2 linked regions of the Coturnix japonica genome follow. The protein of the gene in region 2 interacts with the protein of the main gene of each other region in a biochemical or structural test. Links are inferred from orthologs where the notes say so. Each region holds a gene or a part of one and is shown on either strand. Other genes may lie near its edges.

Region 1 (4,347 bases), on a different chromosome or scaffold from region 2:
ATAATTTTGCGCAGAATTAAGTATCCATACGCATATATTTTGTTCACTGAAATCAAGAGTAACCTTGCCTTTTCCTTCAATAATCACTGACCGTAATCCAATGCTATAACTAACAAATCCCATCAATAAATGCAGAAACGTGTAAAACAGCATATTTTCAGTCTGGAATAACTCATTTTCACAAGCTCCTTGTAACTCTTAGGATGTTACCTCCCAAGAGATCATTTTTCTCCCAGGAGCAAAGCACCACCAGGACTTGTTCAAGTGCCGGGCTAAGAACATGACAGTGGTTGAGTCAATACTTGTAAAATGCATTGACAGTAAGGAAGAAATTTACACTGTGCAGCTGTACCCGGGGTGAGTCACTTGCTTTGTAATGTTATCAGAAGCTACAAAATTAAATATCAACAGAACACTTGAAAAGTTACAGCAATGGCAGGGCACACAACTTGCAAGCTGAACCCTCTATCTATGTTATGCTCTGATTCTCCATCTGCTCCAAATGGGTACAAAAGAGCTCATGCCAACACACAAGTAACATCATGGAATAAATTTCAGAGATGAGAATTAAAAGTATAGTTGTGGTTAGTAAAAAATGTTAGAAAGGCAAACTGCAATGGGGTGTTATCCTCTACTTTGTGAATTAAGATGCTAAGATGTGACTGAATACTGTGTCCCAGCCCTGTCTGCAGAACAGAAGAAGCCAGAGACTGATTGAATGAGCTGAAACAGTCAGTGCCTATCATACACCAACTATAAAAGTATCGATCGGGACACTGTGCTGCTTCCAAGAACAGTGACCTCCTGGTCAATGACAGCTAGAGGATCACTGTCACCAAACAGAGCTCTCTGCTGAGCCAAAGCAGTCTGTTCCCCACATGAAATCTCAGCACCAAATCTCTGGATACTGTTCGGAAATCTGGAAAATTAGGTGCTTCACATCTTCACCAATGTCAGAACAGGTACGTGGGAGAAGTAGGATTGGAAGCACCTGAACTTCATATGAGAGAAAGCATGGAGAGGGAAGGCGTGACCACAACAAAGACTGGAATAAGAAATAGCATTCAACTTGTATCCCTGACCTACCAGGGATAAGCTGGCAAGGATGCTCCCAGCCCTCACCCTAGAGCCACGGCCTTTCTGCAGTTGGCAAAGCCAGCCTGCCCGCAGAGCTCACCTCCTTCCACAGCTGCAGTTCCTGCTCTGCCTCCAACGCTTGGGATGGCATCGGAACACCTGGAAGCACAAACAACGATAGCAACACTGCGTAGCAGGGGTCATTCTTGTGAGTATCCTAAAAGCAGCGTGTCCCAAGCGTGTCTGCTCTCGGCATGGTAAGGTTTGCCAGGAGTCATCCAGTTTATCCCTGTGCCCAAGGTTGCTGTCTGTGACCATACCCAGCCAGTTCATGCTCTGTTTTTACCGGTCACTGGTAAGCAGAGATTTTACAGCCTCCCATAAAGTCTATAGTTACCTCTGGTGCTTTTTGTCTCTCCCCAAATAATTGTGCCAAATTAAACAAAGAAAAGGATGAAGGTAGTCTTAATGAGAATAGCCAGGTGAGCAGGATGTGAACCCGGCATCTCCAAGTAGCACAAATAGCAACAGGAATAACTTCCAGGCATAATAGATATGTTGCAAAAGCTCCTTTTGGTATTGACACAGGCTTGAGATCAGCATGAACAGTGATAGAGGGGAGTCTTAACTTCATCCTGCGTAGAAACTGCTTATTTCTGAAATCTCTGCAAGGTTTACATGGCAGTAAAACTGCCTTTCAATGAAAACTGTGCTTTTTTGATGCGTGCTTTAGTTCAAGGAACAGCTCCAAATAAATTAAGTGTGCTACAGTTCTCACTGTCATTGTATTCTGTTCTTAATTCAGAGTGTTCACTTTGGAGCGTTGCCTGGGACTGGTGCCTTGGTAGCCATGAGTGCACCATGATTCACTACCCTATAGGTTTCCTTAACCCTCCTCAGCTCACTCACAGAACTCTGATGGCAGGTGCAGTCTCAGCAGTGCAAAGCAGCATCCCTCCATCACCCTGAACACTGCTGGACCTACACAGGGGCTTTCGCAAGTGTCAGGTGCACGATTTCAGTCATCTCTGTGAGCACAGTGTGATGTGTCGCTGCCTTTCCTCACCCTCCTTTTCCCTCCTTCCTCTCTCCCCCATCTCCAGAATTCATTTCTAACACAGTATGCGGTGCGTTACAAATACCCAGCACAAAAGCTCCTGATGAAAGTGACTCGCTCATCCCCAATACAGGCAAACAGAACTAATTGCTCGGTGCACGGCGACAGGTGATGTAAAGTGCTTCACAAGGTGTAAGCACTTCATGCACGTAGAATGGGACAGCAGGACGGGCAGGGCAAGGCACTGTGTTTTGTTGCAATGCCCATCAGCTGCTCTCACTTTAGAGTGCTCCCTCATATAAAAATAGCGGCTTCCAGGTGTAACACAGCACTCTCAATGACACTACAGATAACCGGTCTCCCTGTTTAAGTAGCTGATCAACTTCGTCCATCCCCACTACGATCACATCGGTTTGATCTACAGCCGTTTTCCCCCTTTACCAGAGCGCAGTTTGGCCGGGACAGAGTTATCCCCAGGGCAGGTGGAGGAGCCCCTCTCCTCACCCCAACCCTTGTCCAGGGACGAGCCCCATCCTGGCCCTGGCCTCGGCACCTCCGCAACCCCCGCACGGATCCCACCCCGCTCCCCCGTCGCAGCCCGACGGAGCGCTGCGAGGCTTTGGGTTTCGCGGGGACGCCGGGGTAACCCCTCCGCCCCCCAGATTTGCGGTGATGGGGCTGCGGGAAGATGCTCCTCACCTTTGCAGACACGCACGGAGGAGGCGAGGAGGAAGAGAAGCAAGAGAAGCGGGGAACCCGGCACCCCCCCGCCGCTGCCCGGGCCTCGCGGGGGGATGGCCGCAGGGAGCTGCTGCTGGCAGAGCTGTGCCATAGCCGCCGTGCCCTGCTCTGCACAACGCTGTCCGTGCCCCGCTCCCTGCACAAACTTTTTAAATCTCCCTGACACGTGGACGAGCATCACCCTGACTCACGGAGCGCACGTCAGCCGCCCTGCCCGCCCCGCCGGCCTCCCTCCCCCGCCCGGGGCAGACCCCCTCTGCTCCGCCGGTGACTCAGCCCCGCTCCCGGCCCCCTGCGGCTGTGCGTGGCCCCGCTCGGCTTCGGGACGGAAACCGGACGGTCTTTGCTTCTTCACCTCACCCCTCGGGGAAAAAAACTCTTCGCTTTAAAAGAACAACCCCAGCTGTGGCCGGCTGCCCCTTGCCGCGGATGGAGGGGGTGGAGGCGAACTAGGGGGGGTGGAGGTGAGATTCGGGCATTGCCTGATGCTAAAACTGGAACCCCACCTGACAGCTGGAGAGCTCTAATCGAGAGGAGGATGAAGCCAGGTGATAAAGAAGCCGCCAGGTGTGTTTGTGGCTGACTCTGCTTCCCCATCTACACCATGGGCAGAATTGCAATTCTAGGGCAGAACTGCAATTCTTTCTAATAAGGAAAGAGAATTTACTGGAAGGAGCAGCACTGTTGCATTTAATCCCCAGAATGACAGCAGAGGAAGCTCTGCACAGCCCCAACTTTGCGATCATAGCGGAAATCAGCTTCTTATCTTGACACTGGGTGAGCCCTATGACAGCAGGGAAGGTGCACACACACCTGAACTGCCACACCAGGAGGCAGAACACAGCGATATGGTGGTACAGCCCATCTGAGGATTCAAAACTCAATGCAGCACCACCAGCACACAAGAAGCACAGCAGGGTGCTGGGCTGGTGCCGGCTGCGCAGTGTATCTGTCATAGGAAGATCTTCTATATCATGTTCAATAGCAAAGCTTTTCTTGATGTGAGTGGAGACAGAATTAATCCTTGTGTTGATGGAAATACTATTTATTGGATCAGAAGAGAAATTTAAAAAGCCTGTATTTTGTATTTGTTATTGTATTCACATCTACCCAGTTAAAAGAGGTGTTTTAATCCAAAACAAGGAACTGCATTTGGTTCTGGTTTCTCTTAATAAAAACAGATATTTATTTAGAAGGCATCATCATAAACTGGTAGTCATTAGAGCTGAAAGGTAACTCCCTCATCTATCTTAATCCAAATACATAAATTAGCACCCTGAGCTTTGGCCTTTGGAGGGATTTAATCTGTTGTGCATTTTGCTAATTAATACCTTCTAATTAAACTGTTCAAAAGATTGCATGGGAAAATAAAGGACAGTATTTTATAAATTTGAAAGTTTAATCCCAGTCAATGTTCTTATCCTGCCTTGAGGTGCAAATAACATTTTATGCACAGCACAAAAATGGTATCT
Region 2 (4,431 bases):
GGTGCTCTGGTCGATCCTCAGGTCAGAGCCTCATGTTCATAGGAAGGAGTAGGGCTGGAGACAACCACAACACCCCAAGGTTGTAGGGCAGAGGAATCTGGGTTAGCAGAGGGACAGGTTAACCACCCCAGCCTTGTCCCTTCCCCTTTCTTACCCAGGGCTCTCCTGGATGAGCCACCACAAGCAGACCCCACCCTTGGATCACAGCCACCAGCTCTGCCTTTGCCCCCACGACCTTCCTCCAGGATGACCAAGGATGACCAAGACCTCTGCTTCCTCCCAGCACCCTTCCAACACCCCCATTGGCTTTGCCTGTTCTCAGACTCACACAGCATCTTTGTGACCTGTCTCCTCTTCACTTTCTTCTGTCTCCGGACTCTGTCATAGTCACTGTCACTACTGGATTTGGCTCCCAGGGCCTCCAGCATCTTTTCTTTCTTGAGCTGCAGGCCGATGAGCAGGTAGAGGATGCTGATGGTGCCCATGGGCAGGAAGAAGAAGACGATGGTGGTGATCTGGATGATGAGATTGTAAATCAAGCGTGGCTTCACCAGAGTGCAGATCTCCGAATCAGGCACACGGCCCCGGCCAGGCACATAAAGAGGTTGGAGCCCATGGATGCTGGTGTTGGGGATGGAACAGATGACTGACACCACCCAGATGGTGATGATGACCCTCTTGGCGTGGTTCCTGGTCACCACATACTTAGCTTTGAGTGGGTGCACCACAGCAATGTAGCGCTCCACGCTCAGGGCGGTGACGTTGAGGATGGAAGCGAAGCAGACAGCCTCAAAGAGCAGCGTTTTGAAGTAACAGCCCTCAGCCCCCAGCAGGAAGGGGTAATTGCTCCACATGTCGTACAGCTCCAGTGGCATCCCCAGCAGCAGCACCAGCAGGTCGGACACAGCCAGACTGAACAGGTAGTAATTTGTGGGCGTCCTCATGAAGCGGTGCCGCAGGATGATGATGCAGGTGAGTGTGTTGCCCACTGCCCCCACAGCAAAGATCAGCAGGTAGATCACACAGACAGGGATGAAGAAGTTGGACCTCCGAGGCCCTAAGTATTTATGCCGCAGCTGCTCCTCCGTCAGGTTGGCATCTTTGGGGTCGAATAAAGCACCAGGCTGAGTCCTGTTGCAGAGGTCGGGGCTGGGGGGCTCCATGGGGAAGTCTCGCTGGGGCAGGGGGAGCTCAGGGCCAGAGCAGATGATGTAGGGATTCATGGCTGCGGGAGACGTGGCAGTTCACAGGGTGTTTTCCCAAACCCTCTGCTGCTCCTGAGCCTGATCCTCTCTTCCCATTGGGGTTCCAAGACTTTGCTGATCACCACAACTCAGCACCCCCATCCTGCCCCAGCAAAAGCTTTTCCACTGGGAAAGCACCCAAATTTTTCCAAACCTCCCCCTATAGGAACCCCAAGCTCCCCTTGCCCCACGTCCCATCTACAAACAGCCCTGGCAGTTCCCTCACCTGACTGTGGTCCCTTTGTCCCAGCTGTGGGGACACTGTGGCAGGGCTGTCCCCTCTTCACTTATCCCACAGGACACAGCCCCGAAGCCAACCCCGGACCGCATCATGCATTGCCCCAGCTCCAGCTCCCCGTGCAGAGGGGCTGAGAGGTGAAATAGGCAAGGGGAAAATTCATCCTCCTCCCCAGGAAGAACTTACGTCTCGCCGGGAAGCTCCGAAGGCAGGATGAGGTCCCAGCACCCCTATGTCAGACAGGGTCGGACGGGGAGGGAGCGAAGGAGGGGATGGAGACGTCGCTGCCTTAAGAGGCAGGAGAAAGGAATCCCGCTTTCCACTTGGAGCTCAGATCTCGGCAGCCCGCTGCCCCTCTCCGCCAGCTGCTGCTCTCCTCCGTCAGCGGGGGGCTCCCAGGGGTCTTCCTCTCGTCCCCAAACCCAGTGCCCAGACCGGCAAAGCGGCACCGCGGAGGAGATGCTCTTCAGGAGGGGAGAGGAAATACGTTAAAGTCATAAACTCCATTGACTCGAGTGAGTCCCGGGGGAGGGCAGCACGGCCGTCTCCATCCCCACCAGCAGCCTTCACAACGCGGTGATTTGCCATTTGCGTAGTGAAGGAGGCATCGATCAGCGCTGCTCTGCCGACACTAGCGGGCGCGGGGGCCGGAGTTGGACGGAATTCTGCAGGGAGGGCGCAGACGGAACCAGCGGCTGCTCGGGGTCCCCGGGCTCCCAGATGTGCGACCCCTGGGTCCTCCCCACCGCCGGCTGCGGAGCGCTGCCCGAGCTGGAGCCCATCACTGCTGCGATCGCGGCATCAGCTCTCGCTATGAGCCGGGCTCGGATCCCTCCTGCTGCCTGTCCGTCAGTCTGTCTGCGATCCTGTGTGTCTGTTTGTCCGTCTGCCCGTCCTCTGCACTGTAACAACCCGGCTCTGCAGGCATGCAGACACGTGCACACGCACACCCCCCACACACCCCATGCGTTCACATGTCCCCGTGCACCATGACAGGCTGCCCGTCCCCTCTCTCCAAAAGTCTGTGCTTTTCTTTTTTTCCTCCTCTTCTTCTTCTTCAAGTCAGTTTCAGCTCAACTTCCAGCCGGAGGAGCAGCTGAGCACCCAGCTCGAATCCTGCTCCAGTGGCTCCGTTTGAATATGTGGTCATCATCATCTCTGGAGGTGGTTCCAGCAGCCCCCAGGATCCCCGTCCCTGCCTCCAACTGCACTGTGTTGCTGCCTCCAGTTAACAGGGGTCTCCCCTTGTCCTCCCACCACACAAGCTCAGGAGGTAATGTGTAGAGTCTGAGGTCTCTGCCCTGCTGTGGCTCCATGGCACTTTGGCTGTACAGCTGAAGACATGCACCCACGGCCAGCATCACCCTTTGTCCCCTTGAGGGTGTCAAGGGGTTGGTAGTGATCCAGAGACCCAGCACTCGAGGTAGGACCTTGAAAGGTGTTATCATCCTTGGGACCTTCCTCTGTCCATCCCATCTTTGTTCCATCCTGGCTGTGCACAAAGAGGATGGAGCTGGGAGAGAATCCAGCAGGGCTGGGTTTGAGCAGGCAAAGCAGGGATCTTGGAGGAGATGGAAAAGAGCAGGCAGGACAGATCTACCAGGACAGACTTTATGCCTCCTGTCCTGTGTTACCTCTGAAACCCAGGCTGAGCCCCAGTGCAACTCACTGCATTCAGCACCTGTATCTGGGCACTGCTAGCCTGGAGGAGGCACAGGTTTTTCTCCCTGCTGATGCCCGGGCTGCATTCTCCCCATCCACACCCAAGGCTGGGATGGATCCATGATGGGTCCACAAAGGCCACCTCAAAGAGGGAGCATTCCTGAAAACCTCTCCATCACTGCAGCTCTTGGGAAGGGTTTGTGCCTCCCAGCAACTGCATGCTGCTTCCCATTTTTACCCCTCAATATTTGTTTCCTGCTAAGTGTCCCCTGTGGGCCCAGCAGCACTTCAGAGCAATCCATTCCGCTTTCCAATTTTCTGATGAATGAAATCATCGGAAGATGGCAACTCCTGTTCCATTACTGCTCCATAAAGAGGAGGAGCTGTGTATGGGGAACGGCTCTCCATCCCATTCCCCTTGTCAGGCACTTGACTGCATTAACCCTACCTGGCTGATACAGATTATAAGGAGCATCTCTCCCGGACTGTCCCCATGACCGCCAGGGGACACTGTAAGCCCCGAAGTGATGTGGGATCCTATGGAATGCAGGACAGCACTCGGGATGCTCTGCCCCAGGTCACCCCATGAGCTTCTCCCAGCCCATCTTTGAGATCCCAGGAGGGGACAGTTCTTTTTTTCCTCCCAAACCTCGGACTGAAAGTAGAAAGGAAATGAATGAAAGGCCCATTGAGATGTCGGCTGGGATAAAAGCAATCAGCTTTCTGGGAAGAGTGCAATTGGCCTCTACTCCACGTGTTCCTCCCCCCTGGGTCTACTGGGGTGCAGAGCAGTAACTGGGGCTCCATGGCAACCATCATTCTGCTAATCAGGGCCGGCACAGACAAGTGCCTCTGCACCTGGCAGGAGAGCAGGGCTCTTACAGGGCTCCAACAGGACTTGGGGATGCACTCAGCCATAGGCAGGAAAGGGAGAAGGCCCATGACATCACTGAGCACCAGTGATGCTCGAGAGCTGCTCTTGGTAAAGGGCTCTTGGTTCTGATCCCAGGGAGCATTCCATCAGCCAAGAACGTGCTGCCCAACCCACAGTGTTTTGGGCATCACTCCGCTCCAGCACGACCTCCTCTGGATCATTGAGACAGAGCACAGACCCAGGGCATCCTCCCAAGCATCAGCGAGACACTTTATGGGCTCTATTTATTCCTTTCCAAACCTTCTCCCGTGTGAGTCACCAAAGCAGAGAAATGAGCATTGAGAAGCAGGGACGGCCTCTCCCCAGCCCTCACTCGCAGCAGCTCTGCATTCACTGGCGCACTCCAGGTGCGG

The links.
Region 1: the proteins of NMUR1 (region 2) and NMU form a complex in vitro, tested with the Homo sapiens proteins (2 studies listed by BioGRID). The link is inferred for Coturnix japonica from reciprocal best matches to the Homo sapiens genes NMUR1 and NMU.

The regions. Positions count from the first base shown.
Region 1 is NC_029519.1:58,656,565-58,660,911, reverse strand, and holds the start of NMU (neuromedin-U), read right to left. Parts: upstream 3,059-4,347; 5' UTR 3,054-3,058; coding exon 2,834-3,053; intron 1,237-2,833; coding exon 1,178-1,236; intron 1-1,177.
Region 2 is NC_029524.1:13,329,979-13,334,409, forward strand, and holds the start of NMUR1 (neuromedin-U receptor 1), read right to left. Parts: upstream 3,000-4,431; 5' UTR 1,669-2,999; intron 1,226-1,668; 5' UTR 1,224-1,225; coding exon 329-1,223; intron 1-328. UniProt on the Homo sapiens protein: Receptor for the neuromedin-U and neuromedin-S neuropeptides.